Rhinolophus ferrumequinum: one gene and its partners. The protein of the gene in region 1 interacts with the protein of each later gene in a pairwise test. Links are inferred from orthologs where the notes say so. Each region holds a gene or a part of one and is shown in the gene's direction. Other genes may lie near its edges. The genes, in order: keratin, type I cytoskeletal 15; ZC2HC1C; LDOC1; USP2.

The links.
Region 2: the proteins of keratin, type I cytoskeletal 15 (region 1) and ZC2HC1C interact in binary tests that used the Homo sapiens proteins (3 or more experiments, as listed by UniProt). The two-hybrid records come from large-scale screens. The link is inferred for Rhinolophus ferrumequinum from reciprocal best matches to the Homo sapiens genes KRT15 and ZC2HC1C.
Region 3: the proteins of keratin, type I cytoskeletal 15 (region 1) and LDOC1 interact in a two-hybrid assay, tested with the Homo sapiens proteins (2 studies listed by BioGRID and IntAct). The two-hybrid records come from large-scale screens. The link is inferred for Rhinolophus ferrumequinum from reciprocal best matches to the Homo sapiens genes KRT15 and LDOC1.
Region 4: the proteins of keratin, type I cytoskeletal 15 (region 1) and USP2 interact in binary tests that used the Homo sapiens proteins (3 or more experiments, as listed by UniProt). The two-hybrid records come from large-scale screens. The link is inferred for Rhinolophus ferrumequinum from reciprocal best matches to the Homo sapiens genes KRT15 and USP2.

Annotation. Positions count from the first base shown.
Region 1 is NC_046304.1:37,551,187-37,559,511, reverse strand, and holds the start of keratin, type I cytoskeletal 15, read left to right. Parts: upstream 1-5,026; 5' UTR 5,027-5,089; coding exon 5,090-5,569; intron 5,570-6,443; coding exon 6,444-6,526; intron 6,527-6,649; coding exon 6,650-6,806; intron 6,807-7,277; coding exon 7,278-7,439; intron 7,440-7,522; coding exon 7,523-7,648; intron 7,649-7,841; coding exon 7,842-8,062; intron 8,063-8,325.
Region 2 is NC_046289.1:23,538,222-23,546,155, reverse strand, and holds the start of ZC2HC1C (zinc finger C2HC domain-containing protein 1C), read left to right. Parts: upstream 1-4,660; 5' UTR 4,661-4,774; intron 4,775-5,751; 5' UTR 5,752-5,770; coding exon 5,771-7,099; intron 7,100-7,934. Other genes in the region: DNA mismatch repair protein Mlh3, read right to left, coding at 1-35, 4,240-4,402.
Region 3 is NC_046284.1:15,202,434-15,208,941, reverse strand, and holds LDOC1 (protein LDOC1), read left to right. Parts: upstream 1-4,174; 5' UTR 4,175-4,373; coding exon 4,374-4,817; 3' UTR 4,818-5,607; downstream 5,608-6,508. UniProt on the Homo sapiens protein: May have an important role in the development and/or progression of some cancers.
Region 4 is NC_046294.1:88,611,495-88,618,778, reverse strand, and holds the start of USP2 (ubiquitin carboxyl-terminal hydrolase 2), read left to right. Parts: upstream 1-4,211; 5' UTR 4,212-4,386; exon of another isoform or gene 4,387-4,428; intron 4,429-6,459; exon of another isoform or gene 6,460-6,555; intron 6,556-7,284. UniProt on the Homo sapiens protein: Hydrolase that deubiquitinates polyubiquitinated target proteins such as MDM2, MDM4 and CCND1. Isoform 1 and isoform 4 possess both ubiquitin-specific peptidase and isopeptidase activities.

The DNA of each region.
Region 1 (8,325 bases):
AGGCACGAAGGATATCGAGTTTGTTATTTCAGCCCATGGAAATGGGCCAGGCCTTGGCCCTGTTTAGGTTTTATTTGGACAAGAGTCCACCCTGTCCTAGGAAAGTGAAGGGATGGTACCCACAAACTGATTGTTACGGTAATTCCTCCTTGCAGAAGCCTTCATTTATCTAAACTGTTCCTTAAAACAAGTTTATGAAATAAGCATTGCTCCCATTTACATGGAGTAAACTAAAGCTCGGAGAGGTGAAGTGGTTTGTTGTATATATAACTGTTCTAATATGGTAGAGGTGGGATTTGAAACTGGTTTTTGCTTTCAGATTAGTTTTCTTTCCACTGTATTCCTGCAAAGGTTGGCGTTTGTTTGTATGAAATTAACGTTTACAGAGTATCTATTATGTGCCATTTAATCAAAACAACCTAACAGATAGTTAAGTACAAGAGTAGGAAATAGGCTCAGAGAGGTTAAGTAATTGTCCAAGGCCACACAGCAACTACATGGCAGAGTCAGGACCAGAATCTAGCTTTCCTGATTTTTAACCCACAGTGCCAATCCTGCACCCCATCTCCTAGGATTGACACCACTGTGCTCAGTACCTTTTAGTCTTGCTCCATGTGAAGGCCTAGGACTGGGATCCCCTGACACATTTCTCCACTTGACAGAAGGAGAAACGGGGGCTCTGGGGTCAGAGCCTGAGTAAAGGAGGCAGGCATCCTGCTCAAAGCAAGGCTGGAGAGTGTGCAGGCACTAACATGCAGGTACTAACACATTCATCCATTCCACATAAATCCCTTATGCCCACCAGCCCATACTTGGGCCCAGAGCCTGGAATAGGACCCAGGTGTGACCCAGACCTCCCGCACACCCCTCAACCTGGCTTGCCTGGGGCCGGTCTCCTGCCAGCTAAGGAAGCAAGTCCTAGCTTCCTGGTACAACTCTGCCCTTGGGTGGGTATGGTCCTGCCCCTGTGGTTTATGACTTAGCTGCCAAGAACTGAGGCCAATTAAAGGTAAATAAGTCCTACTTCATCCTGGCTGAGCGGTTCAGGCTGAGTGGATCTGTTCAGGCCCCAGGGATCTGTGACATCAGGCAGACTGTGAGGGAGAGGGTCAGGCAAGAGAGGAACACGGCCCCATCCGCCTCCAGAAGGTCTAGAGGGGAATGGAATGTTTGTCGCTGCTCTCAGGACCGAGCTAAGGAGGCCTGTGACACTGTCATTCCTCTTAGTATTCCTGAGGAGGTGCTCTTTCCTCCATTTTCCCCCTGCTCAGCCCTGGAGAGGTTCATTATCTTGCTCCAAATCATGACTGGTGACCCCAGAGCCCCAGTCTTCCCCTTCTCACCTGCTGTAGCCCTGGGCCAAGAGCCTCTTCTGCCACCACCCCAGCTGTTCTCCTGTACTGTTCTCCAGCACCCCTAGTCTCCCTCCCAATTTTCGTGAGGCCTTGGAACTACAGGCCTGAAACCTGGCTGCACCCCCAGACTGGGACTGCCCAGAGATATTTGTCCTGTGTTCATGAAAGCCTCTGTTGTCACAGCTGAAACCCTCCCCCATGCCCCAGAGGCCCTTGGAATGTGGCTGGGGGGGTGGGGTCTGGGCCCACACCGGTGCAGCAGGTGACTGGGTCACAGGTCTGGGTGTCAGGAATGAAGTTGTCCTTTGTGTGTGTGCCGGGTGGATGAGGAGGGCAAGGGCGGGGACAGTCTGGGAGCTGAAACTAGGGCTACTCTTGACTGATGCAACTTTGACAGAGGAAAAGGAGGGGGGGGATGGATTTGAGAGGGGCGAGGTCTTTCCACCCCTGCTGGTCAGATGACCACTTAAGTTTGCAAAAAGCATTTCCTGTTAGCCATATTGCTCCAACCCTGAGTAAGACTGGGCAGGGATTATTTCCATTTTCTGGATTGGTAGACTGAGGCTCAGAGAGAGCAATTACCCAAAGCCACATATCCAATAAATGAGAAAGGGGGAATTTGAAGGTAGGTCTCTAGGCCCCAGGTCATGCGCTCTGTCTCTAGCATCTCCCTGGGGCAGTGGTGGTGAGTGTGGATTCTAACATTTATGGAGCTCCCTCTCCGATGTGCCATCAAATGCTCACTGTGGCCTTGTAGCTGGGGAACGTGTAAAAGCCCAACTCTTTCTTTTTTTTTTTTATTGTGGTAAAATACACATAACGTACATTTTACCATCTTAACCACTTCTAAGCGTCCAGGTCAGTGGTATTAAATGCATTGACATTGTGCAATCGTCACCACCATCCATCCTCATAAACCTTTCCTCCTGGTCCTGTAAAACTGAAGTGCTATACCTGTTAAACAATAACTTCCCATTCTCCCCTCCCCCCCAGCCCCTGGCAACCGCCATTACACTTTCTGTCTTCATGATTTTGACTACTCTGAGTACCTCACATAAGTGGAAAAATGGCCCAAATTTAAGTCAGGAACCCGGCTCAGAGAGGCTGAGTCACACCCAGAGGTGGAGTCCAGCCCAGGCTCTTTCCACCGGGCTGCATCACCTGATCCCAAGGAGGAAAGGCTGGCTCTAGGGACAGCCTGTCTGTCTGTAGTGGACAAAGTTCTGAAACTGGCCCAGCCTCCTGGGCAGGCTGCTTGGGGCAGGGCCCAGAGATGCAGCTGGGGCCGGGGCCAAACAGAGGCTAATCTCAGCGCTGGCCAGTCATCCCCACCTGGTGCTGATATGCAGGCCCCAGAGCCCCACCTAGACCTTGAGCTCACAGGAGCTGTTGGGACTGAACCAGGCATTTGCAACTGAAGCAGCTGCCGCCCTTTGGGCCTGGAAGTGGAGGGAAAGCCACCCTGAGGGGCTGCTGGAGGGGAGTCAGGGTGCACAACAGGGGCTGGCTCGGGTCCAGCCCTCCCTCGCCCCGGGGTGATGGTACGTAATTTTTCCCCTGTTAATTGCTGGGGCCATAATGTCTGCAAAAGCTTTAATGAGCTATGGCTGATCTGACTTTGATTATTTTTCTTTTGGAGGAAGACAATATCCTCCCACCTATGAGACAATACCGCACTGTCTGGGACCAGCGCTTGGAGGCCCAGCTCACTGCAAAGCTGGGTGAGGAGGAGCCCACGCCCACCCACTCAGGCCTGCGGTCCCCCTCCCACCACCCCAACTCAGATGCAGGAATCTGTGGGAGGGACCCTCTTTTCCTGTCTCCTGGTTGAATGGTGGTGGGAGGGTTCAGAGGACCCATTTGAGTCCTGGTGATGCCCCTTGCTAGCTGCGCCACCTTGCACACATCGCTTCCCCTCTCTGAGCCCCAATTTCATTCCTTCTGAAACAGGATCAGGGATCATCTGTGAACCGAGGATTAGAGGAGGCGTTGGATACAAAGCATGTGGTAAACTGTGATGTGTGCAGTACACGTGCGGGATTACTGTGACAACAGCAATAATGACAGTGGCCTGCATTGCCCCACAGGCACTGGCTATGGAAGAGCACGGAAGAGCGAAGCTGCGCATAGGACATGATCTGATGTCTAAGGACAAAAGTCCCTCCTGGTGAGGGTATTCGTGAGTCCCAGATGATGGGCCTGTACCCCACTATCTAACCATTCAGAAGATGCGGAGCCAGGAGCAGGCAGGAGGGAGGCTCTCGGGCGTCAGGGCTTCTCTATAAGTGGGACTGAAAGTACCACTTGTCACAGGGAAACTGAGACTTAAAGATAACCTGTCTAAGATTTCACAGGCGGTAATGGATAGAGGCAGGGTATGGACTTTTGTCTGAGGGACCTCAGAGCCCTGTCCACCGCACTGTGCTGCAGCCCTGGGCCAGGGATCCTCCTGACTCTCCAGCTCAGTCTAGCTCACTTCCCCAACCCCTGTTCTCCCTAAGCCCAGGAGCTAAGGTCATGCCTCCAAGTGGCACTCCCCACAGGTGTCAGGTATCCCTGGAAAGCTGAGCCCTGAGCTGGTGTCAGAGCAAAGGGCTCCTCTCTCTGGCCTCAGCATCCTGCTCTGTGAAGTGGTGCTTCTGCCACGAAGGTCTCCCCCGTCTGCTTGTCAGGCCTCCCTATCTCCTCCCTCCCCCAGCTCCGGCACACAGAGCCCTCCGTGTAGGGTCCTTCCCCAGCCTTGCAGCTTCACAGGACAAACAGGGTTAACCTGGCCCTGGTGTGCAGGGACATGTCTCTCCCCGGAGAAGGCAGGGGATTCCTGAAACTTGCCCCAGTTTTATCTGCAGAGGTTTGCCCCAACGTGTCCTAGGAGCAAGCAAAGTTTCAGTGACATGTTGGCAGGTGGTGGGATTATCAATCAGCCCCTTGTCAGCCCCAAGCCTGCTGGCTTTTGTGAGAGTGCCAGTGCAGTGGGGGCTGGGGTGAGGGTGGATTGGGGGAGGAGAGGGGTAGAGGAGGAAAGTCCCTTTGTACCGTTAGGGAAGTGATAGATGCTGGCCCTCTGGTCACTTTCGCTGGAACTTGACTCGAGACCCGGGTCCCTGTCCTCAGCCTGTCCCCCTGGGCCCAGCATCCTTCCAGGTGCCTCTACCCACTGATCCCCAGAGGCCATTTTCTCCCCCGTTCCCCAGCCTTGTAGGCACACACAGGATCTGTGAGGGGGCCAACACAGAGCAGGATGGGAACTGGGAGCAGGTAGCTGGCTGCCTAGGGGTGAGGGTCCCGGCTGTCAGCAGCAGAGAAGTCCACCTGAGGGCAGAGCTGGCCTGAGCTGCTCTAACAGTGCTGTGGTGTGATGGGACTTTGCTCCGTGCCTGTTCTCCTGAGGTGCAGAGATGAACCTGAAATGCAAGCGTTAAAACCATGGCCCGGGGCAAACCACCATTCATTGTGAATCATCTCTTTTGTTGCATTAAAAAAAAAAAAAAAAAGGAAGAAAAGAAAAACTCCACACCAGCCACACAGAGGTGTGCAGGCAACTGTGTTTGTCAGGAATGCAGGAGTTGGCCTCCGTTTGGGGGAGGAGACGCGAACCTACAACACCCTCCAAGGGGTATATAAGAAGCCCCAGTCTGGGGGGTGACAGGCGCAGTGCTCTGGTTTCAGGGTAGCCTGCACCTCTTGCCAGCGTCGCTTGTCCTTGCCGAGAACTCACCGACTGCTGCCTGGCCATGAGCACTGCATTTCTGCAGACTTCTTCCTCCCCCTTTGGGGGTAGCTCTACCCGGGGGGGTTCCCTCTGGGCTGGGGGAGGTGGCTTTGGTGGGGGGAATTTCTTTGGGGGAGGTGGAAGCCGGAGTATGTCAGCTTCTTCTGCCAGGTTTGTTTCCTCTGGGTCGGGAGGGGGCTATGGGGGTGGCATAAGCTGTGGCTTTGGCGGAGGGGCTGGTAGTGGTTTCAGTGGAGGCTTTGGAGGTGGCTTTGGTGACTTCGGTGGTGGCGAGGGTGGCCTCCTCTCTGGCAACGAGAAGATCACCATGCAGAACCTCAACGACCGCCTGGCCTCCTATCTGGACAAGGTGCGCGCCCTGGAGGAGGCCAACACCGACCTGGAGGTGAAGATCCGTGACTGGTACCAGAGGCAGAGCCCGGCCAGCCCGGAGCGCGACTACAGCCACTACTACAAGACCATCGAGGAGCTCCGGGACAAGGTGAGTCCTCGGGGATCAAAGAGAGGGGGCAGGGGCCCTGCTCTCATCTCTAAGATCAGTGTTCCTGCTGCCTCGAGGAAAGCCTTTCCTGCCCAGGCAATGATTGCTGTGTGTAACCTTGGCAAACTTGGAATGTGGGGAATACATTCCAGGTGTGGATGTTGGCAGACATCTGCTCAACCTGGCAGTGCAGGGCAGATCCTGGGAATCTGGTCAGGACCAGCGGGGGCCCAGATGGGAGCAATCAGACAGCAACTGGGCTCTGCATAAGTGTCCCTTTGCTTCTTTTGCGAGAATGATGAGTGTAGCTTCAGGAACCCTGAGTGCCAGGGCCTCCTGCCTCACCCTCTGAGGATGTCTTTGGTGCCAAAAGCACTACTGGGACTTAGGAGGCCTGAAAATCATTATGGGCTCTGCCACCCACTCACTCTGTCACTCCCCTGGACCAGTTTCCTCAGCTGTAAGATGCCTTCATTAGCTGTACTCCAGGTTCTCACTGGCTGGAATGTTCTGTAGGTCTCTGGCTGTGTCAAGGTGCACAGGAGGCCAGCAACCCCGAGCTGTCCAAGGCGAAGCTGGTGGAGTATCCCCCAGGGGGCTGTTGTCAGAGCCCCCACCCCACTCCTAGACATTTAATTCCTACAGGGGGTGCCAGGCAATTCTGGCTCCTTGGTCTTTCATGCCCTGGAGACAGGGGCAGACGAAGTAGTGGACACCTGAGATAAAGCTGGACTCTGCCCGGGAACCCTACAGGCTCTTGGTGGTGGTAGCAGAGGAGAGGTTGTTGGTGGGGAGCCAGCCTGGGGTGCAGGGTGGGGACAGCAGCAGGGAAGAGGGAGGGGTTTTCTTGGCACCAACTCCCTGTCTCCTGCAGATCCTGGCGGCCACCATTGATAACTCCCGGGTCATCCTGGAGATTGACAACGCCAGGCTGGCTGCGGACGACTTCAGACTCAAGTGCGCTCCTGGCTCCCTCTGCCTTTCTGTGTTGCCCCCTTTTTTTGACCTCTCTCCCTCCCCCAACTCAAGCAGCCCAGACCCCTCACCCTTCCTTACTTTGGGTTCCCTTTCTCTTCCCAGGTATGAGAATGAGCTGGCTCTGCGCCAGAGCGTGGAGGCCGACATCAACGGCCTGCGCAGGGTGCTGGACGAGCTGACCCTGGCCAAGGCTGACCTGGAGATGCAGATCGAGAGCCTGAATGAGGAGCTGGCCTACCTGAAGAAGAACCACGAGGAGGTGGGGGTGGTGGGAGCAGAGTGGGGCCTCTAGTGCCTCCTCATAGTTGGCTGAAGGGCTTAGAGGTTCAGAAATGCACCCCCCACACACATACCAAAACAGGGGTCTCCCTGGAGAGGAGGGGGCACTGTTCTCTGGTGACCCAGACTCCTTTCCTTCTCTGGTCCTTAGCCAGGCCAGGTGACCAGTGGGAACTGCTGTCCTGATTTGCTTCATGAGCTCATGCAGGGCCTTTACTGTTTTGACGTCCTCCCTTGGAAGCACCTAGAGAGGAAGAGAGACCCTCAGAGCTGAGGGGCCCATGCAATCAAACCTCTTCCTGAACAGTGGGAAATGGAGGCTGGGTGGGTATGGGGAGAGCCAAGGTCACCTAGTGAGTTAGGGACGCAGCCAGGATTGGCGTGGGGGGACCCAGATTCTCCACCCTCTCTTCTGCCCTCCATCTCTAAATGGGCCCCACGCATCCTGCAGGAGATGAGGGAGTTTGGTAGCCAGGTGGCCGGTCAGGTCAATGTGGAGATGGACGCAGCCCCAGGTGTGGACCTGACCCGTGTGCTGGCGGAGATGAGGGAACAGTACGAGGCCATGGCGGAGAAGAACCGCCGCGACGCCGAGGCCTGGTTCTTCAGCAAGGTGAGCCTGACGTCCCAGCCTGCCCCAGCTCCCCAGGTCTCCCAGGAGGCCCATGGGCTCACTTCTTTGTGTGTGACCTGTAGACAGAGGAGCTGAACAAGGAGGTGGCCTCCAACACAGAGATGATCCAGACCAGCAAGACGGAGATCACAGACCTGAGACGCACCTTGCAGGGGCTGGAGATCGAGCTGCAGTCCCAGCTCAGCATGGTATGGCCACCCCACCCCACCGCACCCCACCCCACCCCACCCCAGTCTCTCCCACCCTTTGTGGCTGGTTAAACCTTGGTGTTCCCAAGCCCCCAAAGAGGGAGTTCCCTGCGTCCATTCAACGCCTCTCCCCCTGCCCCCGGTGGCTTCCTTCTAGCCTGACGTGGTGTCTATTTATCTGTTGCCACACCAGAAAGCTGGGCTGGAGAGCTCCCTGGCGGAGACGGAGTGCCGCTATGCCACGCAGCTGGCACAGATCCAGGGGCTCATCAGTGGCCTCGAGGCCCAGCTGAGTGAGCTTCGCTGCGAGATGGAGTCTCAGAACCAGGAGTACAAAATCCTGCTGGACATCAAGACGCGGCTGGAGCAGGAGATCGCTACTTACCGCAGCCTGCTGGAGGGCCAAGACGCCAGGCAGGTGCAGGGTGCAGAGGGAGGAATGAGGGAGGGGCCCATTCCTTTGTGGTTGGGGTGGAGAGAATCTTAGGGCCCAGTACTGGTGCACTGAAAGAGAACTGGGTGAGGAGGAAGGGCTCTGGCTGCTGCACTCAGCCCTTAGGTTGTTACCTTGGGCACCTCTCTGGACCTGTGTGTCTCCTGTAAAGGACCGCAGTTGGGCTAACGCTGGTTCCATTCCATGCCTGAAACAGATTGGGTGTTATTGTAGATCAGAATCT
Region 2 (7,934 bases), on another chromosome or scaffold:
TAGGGTGTCCCCTTCTGCCATACTCATGCTCAAACCTGTCAGAAACCAGAAAAGCAGAAAAGTAAACAGAACTCATTATCCTACGTCAGCAACCCCAATTCTGAGGCAGAAAGGGCCACATCCACACTTCTTAACCACTGCGACCTCTCCCTGACTTAAGCTCCCCGAACTCCAGAGTACGCTAGTGGACACGCGTAAGCGACGGTGTGTGAAGAAGACACCTGGGCAAGTGAGCTTCGGGTCGCGACTGCCCACAGAGGCCTCTTTTGAGACAATTACCTGTTTAGCCAAATACCTCCCCACACCAGTCCTGCTCCCTCTCCATCCCTTCCTCTTCCCACGGACCTGGCTTTCACGCGGCCGCCAGAATCTCCTTCTAGCAACACTTTAGGGCCAATTGAACTGATGGGCACGCCCCGGGTCCCGTCCTACGCTCACCCTCTAAGTCCGGCACAACACCCCGACCACCACCGCAACGGTTCTCCTAGTCGCGTAACCGCCGCGCCCGGAAGCTCAGGGCGCGGGTTCCTCCTTCGCTGTTTCGCATGCCCATCATGTCTGCTGACCAATCAGGGACGGCAGGCTCTGCCCAGAGCCCGCCCAGAGGGTGGGATTTCGAGGCCGGTTGTCTGGGACCTCTCGGGAGCCTAGGGCTGGGGATCTGTCCAGGAACTCTCAACTCGGATTCTACGGACCGAGCCCTCACCCTTCTCAGTCACCAAGAGCACCTCTTTTCTCATTTTTCTCATGGGGAGAAAGATATAGACGATGAAGCACTTGAGATAAATCCAATCATTCAATAAATATTTACTGAGAGCCTTCTGTGTGTTAGGCGCAGTTCTAGGTAGACATACATCAGTGAACAAAAGGATTCTGGCCCAGAGGAGCTTAATTTCTGGAGATGGGAGACGGGCAATAAACATTAAACATTATAAACAAACAAATTGAATAGAATACATGCAACCTTTCTGCACTGACTTTTTCTTTCAGTTCTCAAATTTTAAGTCATGCCTAAGTCTGGAATTAGGAGTAGCGAGGATAAGTGTGTAAGAGGTCCTAGGGGTGGTTATTTCTCTTTCTGTGCTTCTGGAAGCTGCTCATTCCAAATAACGCTTATCTAAATCAATCCCAAGCACAAGCAAAATAACCCATGGCTCCAGAACCACAATTGAATCAATCAATGTAAGCCAAATGACCAAATTGCATAAATTTCTTCTGGGCAAAGGGAATTGTCAAGGGGTGTTGTGCGTGATGATTGTTTAAAGTAGGGTCACCTTGTAGGCATTTGAATACAGCTATCCTTGTGATTAAGAATGTGTATGCAGGAAAACTGTGTTTACTGTTCCCTTTGGATTGCTTGTATACATTACATCCCTTCATAACATAAGACTCCATATGTGAATATGCCACATTGGCAGACTTGGCAAGGTGAGACGGATTTGCAATGGAATCATTCCATTAGTTCCCCACTACAAAGTGAGGCTCTGGATCCTGGAAAATATAACCTTAGTGCTAGCACAGGGGTGGGGGGCAGGGTGGGAAGCTGGATTGGATGTTATGCTTGGCAATATTTGAAAATAATGCTAAACAAAGTAATTGGCTGGTGTTCTTTCTCCAAAATTCATTTTAAAAAAACTAGTTTCTCAATAGAATTAAAGACCTATTGAGTGTCTACTATTTATGGGACACTGTAGGGTATATAAAGATTATTTGAATGATATATAATCTTTGTCCTCAAAGAGTTTTTTATTTAGTGTAAGAAACAAACATGCATGCAAATAAAGACAATACAATGTACAACATGCTAATTCAGTTCCATGAACACCAATCAAGAGCTCCTCATAAGCCAGGCCTGTGGTGTAACCAGAACAGAAAACATCATGAGAGCATAAAGGAACAAAGAGATTAATTTTGACTGGGAAGATGGGGAAGACATTCTTGGAGGAAATATTATCCAAGGTTACACAACCACAACCAGTAAGTGATGGAGCTGGGATTTAATTGCAGGCAGTCTGAGTACAGAGCCCCCTCCCATAAATTCTATGTCTACCACCTCCCAGTATGTGGAGCTTGGGGTAAGGTAGTACTGCTGAGGTAAGAAAGTGCAATTAGTCAGGGGTGGCTAGATCAGGGGTTTTCAACCCTGGCTGCACATTAGGATCTGGAGGGAAGCTTTTAAAAATGCTGATACCCATCCCAAAAATAGGTATTGCACAAATGATCATCACAGCATTGCTCACAATGGTAAAAAAAAAAAATGCTGATATACAGATGATACCCCCAGAAATTGCCTTCCAGGTAGTGCTAAAGCACGGACAGCATGCACAACACGCGCAGCCAAGGTTGAGATTCACTGGGCTAGACTCTGGGGGGGGCAGGGCTGGAAAGGTAGGTTGGACCTAATCCGGTAGGTGGAAATACCATGTCAGATTACATGTTTCAACTTTATTCTATAGGTAAAGTAGAAGCCACTGGGTAGGACAATAATATTACTATGTAGGTAATTATTCTGGCAGCAGCATGAAGGATGGGCTTGGGATGCAGATGTTGAAGGGAAGAATAGCAGTTAGGTGAGTGATGCATGCCGTCCCAATGAGAAGTGAGCAAGAACTCACTTAGGGTCGTAGAAATGTAAAGGAGGGGTCATATATAAGAGACACTGCAGAATAAATTCAACAGAGCCTGCTGACCAGTTAGAGGGGAGTGTGACAAAGAGGGAGATGTAGAAGGTGACTGATGCTTTTAGTTTGAGAGGGAACACTGAAGAAGAAGTGGATTGGGGGAGTGGGGAGGTGATCATGAGTCTGTTTTCTGTTACATTGAGTCTGAGGTTCCTGAGGAACGAAATCGACAGTTGGAGATCTGAGTCTGTAACCAAGGAGAGAGAGCTAAGCCAGATGCCATTTAAACATAGAAGACACCTGAAATTTCAGTATTTGGTTGAAACCATATGCAGTCTGGAACTGCATGTATATGAGAAATAAGAGGGCTCTGGAGAACACCTAAATTTGGGGGACAGGTGAGGAAAAGACATAGCCCTGTAGAAGACGGAGCAAGAACACAAAAAAAGAAGCCAAGAAGGCACAGGATCAAGTGAGAACAGAGTTCCAAGGAAGTAAAAAGTCAGTAATGTTAAATGAATAGGCTGAAGAAGTAGCAGCTTTTGTCTTTGGTCATTGGAAAGTCACTGGTAGCCTGGCAGTTAAACAAAGTGGAAAGGGTAGAAGCCACACCACAATGGACTGAACAATGAAGAGGAGACGAGGAAGGGGCGCCAGCAAATGTAAAATTTCTACTAAGAAGTCTTGAGGAGCAGAGGAGAAATAAATGGGGTCCTAGGGGAAGGGGCCACAGGTCACGGGAAATGAGGTTCGTTTTGCAGGAGAAGTTAAGCATATTTTAAAACCAAAGTATATGGATTGATACAACTTGACGTTAACAAGATGGAGGGGTAAAGTCATGGAGTCCATTCCTAGAGGATGCTGAAAGGGACTCATTCAATAGAACACATGGAAAGAGAAAGATTCTTTTTCCTCAAAAAACAAGAAGGAAGTCAAGATGGAAGTCAGCACTCCAGGAAATTCGGCCAGACTAGAGGGGAGCTGTGGAAGTTGACAGGCAGGCGGGTTGCTGAGATAACTGGACTCTTGAGAAGAGTGGGAAATGTCTGGAACTCCATATAGGAGTCCTATAAAGAAGGCAAATAGGGAGTCAACCAGGAAAGAAAACAAGGGGGGAAAAGAAAAGCCCTGGAGGGCCCAACAAGGAATTACTTTGTAATATGTAAAAGCTGTAATGATATGTTGAAGTATTAACAGTGACTACTACTGTCTATATTATCGTCCATGTGCATGAATCTTTTACGTAGTTATAAGGAAAAAGTCAGTTGCCTGTTCCAAACAGCTTACACAAATGAACTGAAGCATGAAGGCAAATAAACTCTTCTGATGTTAACAGGTCACAGAGTATCACTTACTGTTGAAGCCAGGCTATACTGCTTATTTTCGATCTAGTAGTTAACTTTATTATCATTACATGTGGTTGAGTCATTCTTGGGCTCTATGAAGAGACGGCCAGAGTTACCACGTGAGAGTAAGACACCGTATCAAAATAATTACACTGGCTACAAAACTATCCCAGAAAGATACTGCGTAGCAAAACCTAGCCAAGTTGCTATAATTTCACCGCCAGCTCCAAACTATTGGTGAGGGAAAGCACGGAGAGACAGTGTAGCCATACCTGGGGCGCGCACGAAGCAGCCGAGCGTGCTAAGCAAGACTATCAGCAGGCTCACTACCGCTACGGGGGCGGACATCGGAATCCTGCGGCTGAACGACTCCAGGGCACATCTAGGGGCGCCGTCTTTTGCCCGAGAAGGGCACACCACGGGGTCTGGGGTCATCGCTCTCAGAAAAATACTAGTTCTTTGATGGAGCCCCAGAAAAACCTCTCCCGTCCCCTCCCTTGTTCCCCAAGGGCTGGGCTGGACGAAGCTGTAGAGTTGGCCGGACACCGGGTCAAGTGACACCCCGGCGCACCTCACCTCCCTCCGGGGCGGCTCCCTACCGCTCGCGGGACTGCGCCTGTGCGTGCTTTCCCCGCGGCGACAGAGGCGAGAGGCGGGGCTGGGAGCGCACGCGACCCCGTTCCTAGGCAACGGGAATAACAGGGGCCAGCTGAGAGCGCCTGCGCGGCGGTCGGTTGGTAGGGTTCTGGTCCGGAAAACTAAGTCTTGGGGTTGCCCCTGAGCAGGAGTTGTCCTGGAGAGCCTCAGGTAGGCGAGAGGACGGGGAGACGTGGGGTCAGCACCTCGACCTCCCAAAGGCCCGATAGACAGAAAAGCGAGGGCTTGTCCCCAAAGCAGAGTCCCCAGTGGGGCGCCCCGCCTGATCCTCCAGAACGGAACGTGACTTCCGCGTTCCGGATCTAAAACCCACGGCGGCCAAGTCAGGGGGCCCCCGCTTCTCAGTTACAAACCCCTGGCCTTCTGAGCCGCGGGGACTCGTTGGGTGAGGGTTTGATAGCCAGGCCCCTGCTGCAGGCCCTGGGCAGCGTCTGTGCTCCTTGGAGTCAAGCATGGTTCCAGCAGGAGGGAAGCCCTGGCACTTACCTCTAGGCCGCAGTTTTCTCACCTGTAAAAGGATGGGGCTGGACTTGGAATCCTGAGGTCCCTAAATTCCAGTCATGTAACTCTGAGGGAACCACTCAGTTTCTTTTCTTCGGATTTCCTCCTCTAAACTTTCTCCAGCAGCTTCTAGTCTTTGGATCTGTGTCCATTCAGTCCCATGGCGGTTTGGCATGGCCCTCTTCTCCTGCGTGGCAGCAACAGTACCACGCAGGAGTACTGAAGAAACTGGAGCCAGAAGGGGAAGTTGCTCGTCTTGTGTCACAGGCCTACAACCTGACTTCAAATCCAATAGCTCTTTCCACCGAGTATGGCCTATACTCTGTGTGGCAGGCGCAGCACTGTATGGCAGAGGCTGGTACTGGTATAAAGGAAAGCTAGGTGGCAGGAACACCTATATCACATTCATTTTTCTATCCTCAGGACCTAACATGCACTCCCAGGACATAATCAGCACTCACCAAATGCTTATTGAATGAGAGCTCTGGCAGACCCAGTACCACTGTCCCTAGAAAGTTTAAAGGAAAATGTGGGTAGGACAAATGTATGATAGAAACAGTTGAGTTAAGCAACCAGGGTGAACCTCAGACAAACTTCTCACATATATCTGGTTTAATCTCTCCTAGGCTTCAGTCCAGGCCCTGAATGGCTGGTCTCCAGTTGGCTCCACCTCTGCCTGTGGGCGTTATGCTCCCATATAATAAGGCAGATGCCCCAGGGAACCATTCCGCTAAGCAAGACCACTATGAAAAAGATGGCTCTTCCCAGCGCTCCTCGATGGGGCACCTGAGGAACAATTCCCAGCAGAAGCTTTTGAGCAACAATGAGCTGGCGCTGGATAATCTGTACACTCACTCCAAATGGAACGCCTGCACCAAAGCCCAGAGCTACTACCATCCCCACTGTGCTGGAATCAGCCAGCAGGATCCCAGAAACAATCTCTGGGGCCAAGCAAAGGGTTTGTTTCACTCATCAAGCTCTCAATCCCAGTACCCCAAAGCACATAACCAGGAATTCATCCCCTTTACAAAGAAACGAATTGGAGTGGACCGGGCATACCCACTGAAACCCGTATTCCATCGGAAGTCTTGTAGTACACGTGAGACTGGCACTGATGGGGACCAGAATGTCTCTCCCAGACCCCCTGAGCCAAGAGAGTTTTCATACAGCAGCTTGGGTTCAAGGAACTGGGTGAGTTCATCTGTGGTTGGTACTGTTGCTGCCACGCAGGAGAAGAGGGCCATGCCAAACCGCCATGGGACTGAATGGACACAGATCCAAAGACTAGAAGCTGCTGGAGAAAGTTTAGAGGAGGAAATCCGAAGAAAAGAGAGCCTCCTAAGGGAAAAGCTGAAGAAGACAGAGGAGGAACTCAGAAGGATCCATAAAGAAAAGGAACAGGCTGAGGAAAAGGCAAAAAGAGAGCCACAGAGAATGACATTTCCCAGGAGGAGAAGTAAAGGTAATAGCAACACTGTGTACAAACCTATCTTCTCCCCAGAAAACAGGTCTAAGGAGGTCTTCGGTCGAGACAGGCAAGAGGATGAAACTTGGGGACGGTCTCAAGAAAATTCTAGTCCATTCCATTTTTCTGATTATGGAATACAGAAGCTCAGAAGGGAAAGACTAATGGCAAGCAATAACAAAATCCGAGCCTACGTCTCGGGGCCGTTGAAGCAGAACTTTTCTCAGCCCTCAGAAGCGCCGGGCAGTGCTTTGCCAGGATCCACACGCCATTCTAGCTTGTCTAAGGCACCAGACTCTTCAGGTTCCAGCTGTTCCACTCAAGAGCCAGAACTTGGCAAGTGCAGCCACTGTGGACGCAAGTTTCTCTTGCTCAGGCTGGAGAGACACTCCAACGTCTGCAGCAGGATACATGGTTCCAAGAGGAAAGTGTTTGACTCCTCTAGGGCCCGGGCCAAGGGCACAGAACTAGAGCAGTACTTGAACTGGAAGGGACCAGCCTCAGTCAAGGTAACAGGGCCTTATGGATTTGACTTTGAGTGGGGATCATTGTAAGGACCTGTTATATACCAGGGGTACCAAAAAAGATGTATATACACGACTTGTATTCATCTTTTGTTATCGGTATCTATTGAGTATTATGATTTTAATACAGTTTTCTCCTTTCTAAAAAAATGTGTATACATTTTTTGGGCACCCTCTGTATATCATCAGATTTTTGTAAAGAAAAAATGTGTCATGTAGGGAGAAAGTGGGAATTAACATTTATTGATTACTACTGTGTGCCAGTCACTGTGACCGGAGCTTTTCATGTGACCCTCGCCATAACCAAGTGAGGATTTCATTATCTCTTATCAATTAAAAAAATCTAGTCTCAGAGAGGTTAACTTGGTTGAGATCACAAACAGCTTTAAATAACAGAGTCAGCATCTAAATCTGAGTCAGAATGACTCCAAAATCTAGACTTAAAAAATATATATCCATTTGATTCTAAAAGTAATACACATTTACTATAGAAAATTTAAAGACATGAAAAATATATTAAAAAAAAAAAAGCTATTCAGCACTTCACCATCTTGAGTGAATTCCGTGCTCTTTGTTCTCTGCCACCTCCCAAGATTAGGATTTATTACCACTCCTATAACCATATCTACTTTTCCAAAGTTAGCTCAATTTTGATATACCTTCTAAATAAATACATGAAACACAATTAAGTTTGGAATTCTTCCCCCAATTTGGAGTGTAAACACCTTAAAGGTAAAGGATTTTATTTTTGATTAACATTCCTAGCTGCAGAAAAACTAGCTTGTGAAAAGTAAGGACTTCGAAATACTTTCATGATAAG
Region 3 (6,508 bases), on another chromosome or scaffold:
AAATAGACAAATACAGAGGCTAAGAAACAGAACAGGACCATGGATTCATCACATCATATCAGATCTTTCGATGTGGGACTATGCTTTTATCTGTAGCATATCATGAGTGTCTTCATGTTTCAGTTCTCTACTGTCATGAAACAAATGATCCCAAAATTTTGTGCCATTTTATTTGCTCATGATTCTGTTGATTTGGAATTCGTGTAGGGCTTAGCCAGATGTTTTTTTGCCTCTCTATGTAGTCAGCTGGAGTCATTTAGTCAGCTTCATTCAGGCAGTGATTCTGCTGGCCTGGAAAGTCCAAGGAGGCCCTTCATTCTCATGTTTGTTTGCTGCTTCGCTCTTCCTCCACATGACCTCTCTTTATCCATGTGGCTAACTTGAGCTTCTTCACAGCATGGCGGTCTCGGGGCAATTAGACTTCTTATCTGGTGGCTGGCTCTGAGTAGGGAATATTCCAAGTGGCAAACACAGACTCTTCAGATCTTTAAGGCCTTGCTTCATAAGTTATAAGTTACTTCCATCATCCTTTATTTGTCAAATCAAGTCACAGAGCCAGCCCAGATTAAACAGGCAGGGAACATTGTTTCTACCTCTTAATGGACTAAGTGGCAAAGAATCTGTGGTTATCTTCAATTCTCCACACTCATTCTGCCTCCTAAAAACTTTAATGTAGATCAAAGTAAATGGCCCATTTGAAAGACAGGCCTAGTCTACATTTAAAACCAAACAAGTAAACACAAATTATGACAGGCCGCTCTTAATATCTCTAACAACAGATTTAACATGATGCCAGATACTTTCTAAAACATATGAAAATACCAGAAACAAACCAAGTGCATAAGCTCTTGTATGTTCAAAGTGACGAATTATATTGAAATAACTAGGAATGAGAACAACAATTTGTATAATAGTAGTATAATATACTATAGGCAATAAATTCTATTTTATAGTAATATAAAAACATATACATGAATACAAATTAATAATAAGACATTAGTTCATGAAAATCATCATTCAGTTATAGAAATCTGATTTCCCAGTTCCATATCTCTGGGACTGTGAGTATATTTGGCACCATCCGTCTCCTACTTCATCTGAGAAACTGAACAGAATATTATAATATTATATTAGACCCGGTCTTATGTTATATTAAGACCCGGTCTTATATTAATTTTTGCTCCAAAGGACGCATTAGAACTGATTGTCCGGCTAGGTCTTATTTTTGGGGAAACACGGTATCTCTGTGTCTCCTGACATGTAAGGTTTGACACATATATGTGTTAGCAAAACTATGTATATTAGGATTCTGCAAACATTTTATATGTATATACATATATATGTATATCTTTATCCATTCATTTGTTGGTGGACACTTTGATTGTTTCCATATATGTCTATTGTGAATAACGCTGCGGGATCAAAGAGGCAGCCCAAGTCAATCGCTAGAACCGTGTGGACAACAGGAAGTGTGTTCCTGAGAGTAGAACTCTGGGCATCTTTTCCTGTAGTAGGGTCTGGACATGGAAAGTGGAGCTGGATACTCACTGCTGCCCAAAGCAGGTCCACCTTCCACCCTGAGCTGTGAATGGACAGCATGGCCAGAAACCTACCACTGACATTTCCTGTGCCTGTATTTCATCCACTGAACATTTATGGAGCACCCAATAAACACTTTCAGATGCTGAAGGTCAAAGGATGAGTGAGAGAGGGTCCCTGCTTGGCCTCCAGGGGCTTCTCATATAGTGGAGGAACTCATATGACAGGCGAGCCCAAGGGCTCATATTCCTTCCCACCTGCTCTTTTCCCCGCCCACCGAATCAGCAGCCTGATCCTTCCTCCTCTCCTTATTGGACCTTGGCCCTGTTTCTCTCCTTTCTCTCAGCCTCTTATTTCCATGAATGCCCATTCAATTAAATTTGATTGTGAAAGGACTGAAGAGGGTTTTTCAAAAAATTACTTAGCCATTTTTATTATGTCAGTCATCATTTCACAATGGAGACTGATTCTTGATCATAGATAGAACATACCAGACAGTTTGAAGAGTATTTTTGGACACTATGCAGCCACCCCTTCTAAATCTTATTTCAACATTATCTGCACCCTGGGATTCTTTCATTCACCACACATTTATGGAGCTTCTACTCTGGGCCAAGCATTTTTCCAGGCATTAGGAATACAGCAGCTAACAAAGCAAATTGTCCACATAGACTTACATTCTAAAGTGGAGGCAGACTGACGAACAAAGTAATATATGACATGATGGCTGCTAATGAAAGGGTGAAATTCAGTGAATCAATAATGTAGTTACACTTAGCTAGTTTGCAGTTAGGTCCATCCTGACATTCAGCTGTTTTCTCTGTTTCTCCGCTCACTGACTGACTTAAAAACTCTGTTTTGTTCCCTTTCTCAAGGCTACCCATACCTCATTAATCCATTTACTCAACAGAATCCTAACCTGAAAAGAGCGATTTCTTAATCCTCAGGCGCCTGGACACTGGAATCCGTTTTGCAACTCCCTTGCAGTTTTTACTGGTGACACATAAAGCCCCAGGCCATGGTGGCCAAGTCCGGAGATAACATTATCTTAAAACAGACCAGACCCCATGAACTGAGGACAGTCCTGGGACCTGATTGACCCACCCGGCCTTTCCTTTGTTCTTCTCGTGTTCCTATAAAACCTTCTGACCGGTCTAGGAGCGAGGAGATGGACTTTGGACAGGAGTCCGCCATCATCCCAGAATGCTGGCATTCTGAATAAACCTGCTTTTCTTTTCACCAACCTTGTCTCTCCATGTTTAACTTTTTCAAGCGGCAGGCAGCCGGTCCTTAGCACGGTATCGCTAGTCTGATAAATGCCATGTAAAGAAATGAAGCATGGTGAGGGGTTAGAGATTACTGGTAGAGAGCAGGGTGCTAGATGAGGTGGTCAGGAGAGTCCTCTCCAAAAACATTAGGAGGTGGAGTCAGGCAGCTAACAGGGGAGAGCCTTTGCAAGGCAGAAATGATAGGAAGTGCAAAGATCCTGAGGCCAGAGCTACTTGATGCGTATGAAAATCAGTAAGGGGGACAATATGATTAGAACAGAGCAGGGAATGGGAAAAGGCACAGAGGGTGATGCAGGGCCTTGACTGCTATGACCCAGATTTTGCTTCTTCTTTTGAGTGAGAAGAAAAAACCGTTGGAGGGTTTTGCACAGGGAAAACTTTTGTTCTAAAGAATTCCTGTACCTACACTGTGGAGAATACATACACTGGAGGAAGAGAAGAGTGAAAGCTAAGAGATTAGTTGCAGCAATCCAGGTGAGAAAGGAAGGCTGGGATCAGGGTGGTAGCGGTAGAAGTGACACGAAGTGATTGAATTGGGGATCTCTTTTAAAAGCAGAGCCCACAGACAAAGTTGGCTCTAAGGTCTTGGACACAACTCAGTTGTCAACAACTATTGGAGTAATCACATTCAAAGTAGAAAAACAAAACCATTTAAAAACACAAGTCTTCATTGTTAAGCAAAGAATAATACCCAGTGGCCAAGGGACACTAATATTATGAAGTGAAATAGTCAAAGATAGCAGGATGCCTGCATATGTTTGTCGGATAATTTTGCAGAACTTTTTATACTTCGCTATTTAGAAAAATAATAATGAAAAACGACAGATACACAATATTATTTCCCAACTAAAGAACAATCCCTGTTTAAATAATATTTTGTCTGAAAGACAGGACTCCTGAGGGTCTTTCATTACTCGGAAAGAATGTGTGACTCCCGCGTTGCGGCCAGCAGTGCTAATAGCTGTCTGGATGGATGAAGTTTAAATAAGCAAGAAAATGTGTTAATAAACATCATACAAATGGAATCTAATGGCCACAGGCCCAGTAAGGAACATTGAATTGGGTGACTCAGCTGGGATGAAGGGTGGTTAACCCTTTAAACTTGAGCAGGTTGGCCCTCTGTGAGAGACGGGTCTTAGGGCTCGCTGTGTCCTGGCTAATGCCTGTCCCACATACCCTGCCTTTATCCGCCCGCCGTCAGACCTACCAGCCCTGGGCCCCGGGAACCTGCCCGCCCCTCCCCTGGCCACGCCCTCCGTGGTCACGTCGCCGCGGCCCTGCCCACCCCCTCTGACCCCGCCCCCACGCAGCGCCAGTGTCTTCTCTGGACACGCCCCCCCTCCTCCCTGGGCCGCGCTGGCGCGGGGGCCGCGCCCGCGGCTTTGTGGGCGGGTCTTGCGCAGCCGCCGGGACCCCTGCGTGCACGGCTCTCCACCCCTGGCCACCCGCGCCTCCGCGGACACGCACTTCCTGCGAGGCCTCCCTGCGCACCTTAGGCGAGCCGAACCCAGCCGAGCCCAGCCGTGCCTTTCCAAGCGGTTCGCCATGGTGGACGAGCTGGTGCTGCTGCTGCACGCGCTCCTGGTGCGGCACCGCGCCCTGAGCATCGAGAACAGCCAGCTCATGGAACAGCTGCGGCTGCTGGTGTGCGAGAGGGCCACCCTGCTGCGCCAGGTACGTCCGCCGAGCTGCCCGGTGCCCTTCCCCGAAACGTTTAACGGCGAGAGCTCCCGGCTCCCCGAGTTTATCGTGCAGACGGCGTCTTACATGCTTGTCAACGAGAACCGGTTCTGCAACGACGCTATGAAGGTGGCGTTCCTAATCAGCCTGCTCACCGGGGAAGCCGAGGAGTGGGTGGTGCCCTACATTGAGATGGATAGCCCCCTCCTAAGTGATTACAGGGCCTTCCTCGAGGAGATGAAACAGTGTTTTGGCTGGGATGACGACGAAGAAGACGACGATGATGACGAAGAAGAAGATGATTACTAGGCCTGGAGACCCTCGGGCCTAAGGGGGAAGGGCTCTGCACGCCGCCACCTCCCTCCCCTCCTTCCTGCCCCTCCCGGAGCCACCGTACTCCCCCTAATCCTCCGATCTTCTTCCCTCCCCCAACCTCTGGTCCTCTCCCTCATCCCCCGGAGTGCTTGTCTTTGTTCCAGAAATTGTGCTCCAATTACGTGCTGGGGCTGGGGGTTTGCTCTGAAGCGCGCTGCCACCCACTCTGGCCAGCCCTGGGAAGCACCCCTGCAAATGTGGACTGTGTCCTGAGCCCCAGCGCTAAGGCAGGTCCCTGTTACCAACTGGTCAGATTATGCACTGCCCTGCCAACTGCCAGGCCAACATCTGCCCAGAGAACTACGCTGCCACGACACCACCATCCACCACGTTCTTGCGACTGACCACCGCCTTTGGAGATAAGGACCAACCTACAGGATGCCTGAGTTGGCTACAGCTCCTTGGACATTTATTTGGACAGCTCACAACCCCCGAAGGGGCCAGTCTTTCGACCTGGTTAGTTCCCTACCTATTTCCAGAGTCCTCCCCTACACCACCAGATTGCTGCAGGGGCCTAGTGTGCCTGGCAGCCAAATTGTTGACATTTCTTTTCTCCTATGCACTACTTTTGCACAGCTGTCATTTTCTTTAAAAATTGCAGCAGTCTCAAAAGAAAAACAGGCACTCAGCCAAGCTTCTCAATACTACCTGGAAAAAGCACTTGCGTTCTTTTCAATAAATATCAAGCACTACGAAAAAAACAAAAGGAGTGTCTTTTAATGGTTAAGTGCTATCACTGGCCCCTACCACTTTCACTCGGCCTCCCAGTATTCCCACTGAGATCAGGTAACTTAGTTCAATCCCAGAATTCCCCACTGTCATCTCTAGGCTACAGAGGACAGCTACCATAGGGCTTTATAGGGATTCTGGTGCTCCCCCTACTAAGGCATTTCTTAAAGCCCTGGTGAAGGGAGTGTCCTCTGGGGCCTCCAGGGTGGCATGGGGTAAGGGTGGCCAAGCGGGTAGCACACCATCTCTAACTGGGACACTTGGGAGTGAAAGGGGGCACTATTAATAATTAGGCTGGGACACCAGGCATGAATCTGGACACATACAATGTTCCTATCTTCCTGAGCCTTTGGATTCTTTCCTCAACCCTGCCAGGGAAATTCGGCCCCTTAATCCTTACTGCCTGTGGGGTGCTGTGGAATTCAGGCTTTAATTAACAATGGAGCACAGTATTATCATGCCCCTTTCAGGTGCTTGAGCTAACATTACATTCTGGATCCTGAGTAAGTGCACCTTGCTAAATAGAGCCTGATCTTAACATTTTATTCTCCTTGGGCAGACACCCTTAGAATCCTCACCCATTCATGTGCCCCAGATTCCTGCCTAAGAAATTGGCAAGATGCCTGGCTATCTCCTCAACTGGACCTTGTGAGTTATGCTGAGATCTGTTTGTGGGCCTGAGGGGCTCAGAGGTATTGAGGGAGTAGGGAGGGCGCTGAGAAATCCTTATCCCAGGGTAAGTCATTGAAATGTTAGGGGGTTTGTGGGGGCCACCTCTGCCAGCCAGGACTTTCAGGAGGATTTGAGGAATTCAGAGTTCTCAGTCTCATCTCTGTCTGCCCAAATGTCATTCCTTGTACCATGCCCGGAGCCAGCCCTACCTTAGGAACTCGAAT
Region 4 (7,284 bases), on another chromosome or scaffold:
CTTTTATGGCCTTTCCAGGAAAAGAGTTCCAAAATTGCTTTGAAGGGTGGACTAGGTGCTGGTATTGGTGCATAGCTTCCCAAGGGGAGTACTTTGATGGTGACTGTAATGATATTCAATAATGAGGTATGCAGTATTTTGTAGGATGAGTTCGCAAACCTAATTGTCAGGCCTCGTACACTATGTTTTTCCCCTATACCTACCTATGATAAAGTTAATTTATAAGTTAGGCACAGTAAGCGATCAACAAGTAATAATTATAACAATTGACTCTAATAAAAGTTATGTGAATGGCCATAGGGCCCATTATTAAGTAAAATAAGGGTTACTTGAATACAAGCTCCGTGGTACTGCGACAGTTGATCTGATAACTGAAATGGCTGCTAAGTGACTAACAAGCACATAGCGTATATAACGCGGATACATTGGACAAAGAAACGATTCACATTCGGGGCCGGATGGAGTGGGATGGCACGAGATTTCATCATACCACTCAGAACAGTGGGCAATGTAATACTTATGAATTATTTATTTCTGGAATTTTCCATTTAATATTTTCGGACCACGGTTGACCGTGGGTAACTGAAACCACAGAAAGTGAAACTGCAGATAAAGTGGACTACTGTGTAACAATCACTGTGCTATAAGCTACACTAGCAATAAAGAGGATAAAGGAACACTAGAGGAAAAGGAGAATGAGAAGGAGCTGTCAAGAGGAATACCAGAAAAGCACTGTATTATAAAACCTAAAGGAGGAAAGAACTTTAAAGAGGAAATAGTTGGAGGAGGGCAATTAACTGATTATAACTAAAAAGGCCTCCTGGAGTTAGCAAGTAGGAGATCACAATGACTGGGTAAGAAGAGTTTCCTGATGTCTGAGAGGTAGAAGGTATGAGGATGCTGCACAGACAGGGAGGTGGGGAAACACAGCCTGCACAACTCTTGCAAGAGAACTGTGAAGAGGAAAGAGCAAGAACCGAAGCTATAGATTTTTATTTTGCAAAGAGGAAGAATTTGGAGACTATTATATGTCAAAGGGAATGTCAGTAGAAAATGAAAGTTTTAAAGCTACAAGACTGAACCTGTGACAGACAGTGACTGTGAACATGAGAACAAATGCTGAAGAGAGACAGTTCAATACATGATTTCTAATGGCCCTTGAGGATGCCTGACAACCCTACTATATTTCCACAATCCATTCTCTCTCCCATTTGCCAGCACAGTGGTTCTCAAAGGGCTGTTCCCAGGCCAGCTGTTCCACCATCACTTGGAAACTTGTTAGAAATGCAAGTTCTGAGGCCTACTCCAGATCTCCAGAATCTGAAATTCTGGGTGGGGCCTTAACAGACTCTGTAGGTAATTCTGATACCCAATCAAGTTTGAGAACCACTACCCTAGGTGGCTGGTTTACAACTCCTCCTCTCTCTCTAAATTTCCAACACTTCCTCCTTTATCCTTGATTCACTCTCAGCTAACCTTGCTTCCTAACTCACTGAGAGAAAAGAGACCACCAGGAGAGAATCTCCACTAGCTTCTACCACATCCATTCACCTCCCTGCAAATATTTTGCCTTCTCTCTTCTTCCTTTGGATGAATTCTCTGTGCCCCTAACCAAGCCAGGCCCTCACTCTGTACTAGATCCCATCCCTTCCTACCTCATCAAGGACATTGCTCCAGCTACTCTCCTCTCTCTCCAGCATTATCAAATCTCACTCTCTATTGGCTCCTTCTCATCAGCTATACAAACATATAGCTATTTCTGCCATTTAAGAAATATTTTTGACCTCATTTCTTTTAGCACCCACCCAATCTCTACTTCCTTTACCACAAAACTCTAGAATTCTCTACACAGTACTGTATCAATCCTTCTCCTCCCATTCTATCTGGAACCCACCCACAATCGAGATTTCACTCCCACACACACCAAAACTATTCTTGTCAAAGTCACCAACAACCTTCTAAATCAATTCTCAGACTCTTCTTATTTTACCTACATGCAGCATTTGACAAAATTTCTATTTCTTTCTTCCTTGGTAAGTTTCCTTTTCTTGGTTTCCAGCATATCACCATCTCCTAGATTTGTTTTTTCCCTATGTCACTGGCCATTCCTAAGTTTCTTTGCTGGTTCCTACTCATTTCTAAAGTCATTTAATGTTGAAGAACTCCAGGATTCAGTCCTTGCACATCTTTCTATTTATACTTGCTCCCTTGGTGATCTCTTCTAAGCTCATGGTCTTAAATAACATCCATATGCTGATGACTCTCAATTTTATATCTCTGACCCAGACTTAGCCAAACTTGTACATCCAACCGCTTTCTTGACATCTTGATGTGCCTGATAGACATCTCAAACTTAATATGTATTAAACCAAGCTCGTGACCTCCCACCACCCCAAAACCTGCTCCTTCCACAGCCTACACCTTCTCAACGTTTAGGCGAAAAATCCCTCCCTTTCTCTCACAGTAGACCTTGTTGGCAGGATATTCAAAATACATTCAGAATCCAACCACTACTCACCACCTCTCACTACACTAACCCAAGCCACTATCAGCTCTCATGGATGATTGCAGGAACCTCCTAAATGGTCTCCTGCTTCTTCTCTGCCTCTCTTCAGATCTGTTCTCCATTCAGCAGCTAAAAGGATTCTGTTAAAAAAAAAAAAAAAAAGTCAGATCCATGTCCCTCCTCTGCTCAAAATCAACGGCTCCCATCTCAGAGTAAAAGCCAAACTCATCAAATTGGCCTTAGAGCCAATTTGAAGTCCCTCCCTTTTTTCTTTGACCCCATCTCCACTCTCTCGCTCTCTCTTTAATCCAGCAACACTGACCTGGTTCTTCCACAAAAGTGGCAAATATGCTCCCACCTCAGGACCTTTGCATTTACTGTTCCCTCTGCCTAGAGCATCATCCCCCAAGATATCAAGATGGCTCATTCCTTCACCTCCTTCAGGTCACTGAAATGTCACCTTCTCATTGAGGCCATCTCTGACCATACTTTACACACTCCATATCCCCCTTCCTGATTTATTTGCCTCCATAGCTATTACTGTCATCTAACATACTATATATCCTACTTATTTGATTATTGTCCTTCTGCCTCTACTAGAATGTAAGCCACTTGAAGGCAAGGATTTTGCCTGTTTTGTTCAATGTTGTATCCCCAAAACCTAGAAGAGCACCTGGCTCGTTCAATAGCCATATGTGGAATGTGACCAGATAAGGGCCCTAAGGAAACAAAGGGTTGAGACCCAGAAGGGATTTGTCTTGAACAAGAAGAGACACACCACATTTTACCTTAAGTAGAGGTAAGAATGGATTCATATATGTTTGTAGGCAGAAATTTAAGTATTTGTCTCCTGATTGCCTATAATTTCTCTGCAAAATAGAAAACACGGAAGGACTTAAGGAGAATAGTAATGGACAGAAATAATAGCAGTGGAGAATGGGAGAAGGAGCTAAGCAGGAGCCAAGGCCTGAGCTCTCCTACAGATAGAGTAGAACCACTCCGAAGCAGCTGGACTTTCTCCTGGAGTGGGGGTGGTGCGCGTTGTACTGGCTTTATTTTTCTAGGATTGATGATCCAGGTGAAATTGAAAACCTGGATTTGCCTTGACACCAATCTACCTGGCTGTGTGTTTTTATTCACCTTCATGGGTAAAGGAGGGAAAGTTTACAAATAAAGAATGGGAATGTCAAAAATTCAAGTTCTGTCTCAGCTTTTTCTTAAAAGACCAAAGAGAATCCCTTCCACTGACTCAGTGCCTCCGTTTGTTTACCCACTGAAGAAGTCATCCCGATCGATGGTCTCCTGTTAGTAAAATGAGGAGTGTCTTTAAGAGTAGAGAAAAAGAAGAGGCTAAAGAGTAGGCTTTCTCCCGGCCCCTCCCTAAAAACTGAAAATTGATATATATGCCAGGTGGCTCAAATTCTGGGCCTTCTCCCCACAACTTTCCCAGTACCTTCCAGCTGCCCCCTGGTGTGACATTCCATTCCACTTCTTTTTGTGCTCATCCCCCTCAAAACTCGCAAGCTTTTCCTCCACGTGGTTCTCCATTTATCTTGCCAGGGAGACCCCTATGAGGGCGGGGCTCTAATGACGCCATAATGGGAACAAGCCAATAGCCGTGACGCTTCTCAGTGACGCAAACGTGGGGTGCGGTTTTGCCTGCCCGGGCGCAATGAGGCGGCTGCCCGCTGGGTGGCACCGATTTCCCGGGGAGGTCCTTTCTGGGCCCCCGGCGGAGGTGGAGGAGAGGCCAGCAAGAGCCAAGGCCAGGGAGCCCTCAGCGTCAGCTGCTCACTGCGCCGCGCCAGTACCAGCCGGGACTCACCCGCAGCTCCATGCTTGTGCCCGGCTCGACTCGTCCATCGTGTGAGAAGAAGCAGGTACATGCCACTTGTCGGAGGCTGGGGAGGAAGGATGCAGAGGTCAGTGCCGTTTGAGACTCAGAAAGTGAGGTGTCAACGACAGCCTAGGCAGAATGGCTACTAGAAATGTAGGGCGAGTGCCAGCTACTGGGAGGAGCTCCAGCTGCGGGTGCCAGTTGTGGGGGGGGGGTGTCGCGGGGGGGGGGGGGAACCTGCCAACTGACAGCCCAGGGTGCCAGGAAGAGCCATCTGTGTGCTGGTCAGTGTGTTCTAAGGAAATGCTGCTTCGGCAGGTCCAGGTCTCTGCCGTGAGGTATGTGGCCTGAGAGTGCCTCCTGGACAATGACAGTCCCTTCCTCAGGTGTGCATGCAGTTCACATACTCCCTGGTGGGGAGGGCTGCCGCTGCTCAGTTTGCCAAAGGAGGTGGGGGAGGGAGAGGGCAACAGTTAAGTAGAAAGGGAAGATTTTCCACCAAATCCAAACCAGAAAGAGGCATCTTTGAAAAATCTCAACAATCCCAAACCAGATGCAGGTGCCGTGCTCCAAGGCAAATAACTTTAGCCAAGCCAAGTCATGGCCATCCCATTCTAGCTGTTCTCTGAGGAGAGAACATCGACTTCCCGACCTGGCTGCTTCTAGAATGGGACTAAGTTGGAGACTGTAGTGATGCTCACCTCCCCAAGCAAGGGTATGAGAAGGTTCCCCAAGTTGGACCCTATAAAGTGGAGGAAAGGAAAGCTGGTTAGGCTGGGGCTTGGGGCATCCCCTACTCCTTTGATGCTGTAGATGCATGCCAACCTGGAATCATCATGAGGACTGGAATGAGGGCCGGGGACAAGGGCATCCTCTGAAGTGCATCATCAGGACCCAAGCTGAGTCAGTAGTCTCTGCTGAAACAGGGTGGAGGCACCGCCTGGGGACTCCCAGTCCGCAGAGAGCACCATCGAGAAACAGACTGGGAGCCAACAAGAGCACCAAAGCCCAAGAGGTTAAGAATCCAGCTCCTTCCTCCTATGACCCTGACCAGCCCAGTTCTGTGGCCTTGGAATCCTGAGCACTCCTACAGGTAGAGTGGAGCCACCCCAGAGCAGCTGGGCTTTCTCCTGGTAGCCTGGGAGAAGCCGCATTTGCTATATTTTTCCAGGCAAAGGGGAAAGGAGCCCAAATGGGCTTGGCCCTTCTTGGCTGAGTGGGGTGGACAGCTGGGAATATAGCAAACCTCATTTGCCCTTGCCAGTTATGGGACATGGACAAGCTCAGAAAAGCCTGGGGCTGTTCTCTGTCATTGGAACAGGGCACTCGGAGGGGTAATGCCCCACATCCTCTGAACCAGAGGTTTTCTCTCTGGTTTACTTGGGAGATGCTACTACAAATACTACCACTAAGTATGATAAGTGGAAGTATTCAGTATAATTATCATTTATTGTACTCCTAGTATGCGCGAGGAAATTTACAAATATTATTTTATCTAATACAACTGAGGTGTAGCATTATTATTGACTATTACTCCAGTTTTAAAGATTATATAACTAAGATTCAGACAGCTTAAGTGATTTGCCCACTGTTTCAGAGTCAATAAAAGAGAAAGAACTGGAATACAAGCCCAGGCCTAGAAGTCTATTATAAAAGAGTTTGGACTGAAAACCTGAGAGCTTGTCCCTCCTGCCTCCCACTGTCTGTGCGCCCTTGAGCAAGCTGCTGGCCATCTCAAGGTCTTCTGCATCTCAAAACTGAAGGAACTGGATTAGCACTGTGGCCTCTTCCTCTTCTCTAATTCTGTGACTGACACCTCCTTCTCCATATTTTTGCCTCAATTCCAGCCCCATCCCTCTGCCCTCTTTCCAGTTGTTTCCCCTTGAATCCCTCTTTTGTTCCATGTCAGAATGACCCCCTTCAAAGAGTCCTCTTGGATTTCCTTGCCTGGCATGCTGGCCCATCAGGGCAGACCCTCGAGAGAGGGCCTGTCACTGCCCCTTTAATTCTCCCCGGGTTTGGAATGCAAGTGAGTTGAGCTAGCCATCCCTCTGAGGTCAGATAAGATACTATATATATATCAGAGTCAGTAACCTGAGCTCCAGATTACCCAGCCCAGAGTCAGACTCCAGTCTCCCAGCTCTCTACTGCGCTCCTGGCCCTGCTGGGGAAGGAGAAGCCCCCAGATCCTGTCCATTGCCCCCGGACACAGGTCAGTAGCTGCCCCTTCAGTATCTGAGCTCTGCAGATCCGCTGAACAGATTGTCTACTGGGGGAACATTTAAGAGGTCGCCCCACTGGGCTTGGTGGGTGCTGTGGGCAAGACCAAAGGCTAGAGGCTGACGACAAAGCCACTCTCCCCTGGGGAGGGGACACCAGGAGAGTGCCTGGACAGAGGTGGCTAGAAAAGGGTATTTAAGGATTCCAGTACTGCTTGAGGCTGGGGGGAGGGGCATTTCATTGTCTTTTCTTGGAAGTTTAGGATGCCTACCCCCTCCCAACCCCAAATCAGGAAGTGCCCAATAGGGACACTATCCTAGGCCCACCCACTTTTTTTCCACCAATCAGAATTCTTGTTCTAATCTTTAATCTCTTTATTTTATCTCTTCTGCCCCTCTCCCAGCCCTTGGGCAACTAGTGGGAGTCAAGAGACAGAAATGGACCCAAATTTCCTTGGATGACCCCCTGCCAAGGCATGCAAGACAATCAGGCACTAAACTGGTGGGTTACTGGGTGCCAGCCCCTGAGAGACAGAGCTGCTAGTGACAGGCTGGAGGGGAGGGGACAGGTTGAGGCTCCTGGGGGCCTGAGAGAATTAGACAGAGCTCCTGGATTATGTGAGCACAAATATCCCCGTTCCCCTTCTCCATTCTACCTGCATCCTCCACACCTGCTAGACTATCCCTTGACCCAGGAGTTGACGCATGTGCCCAGACAGTGG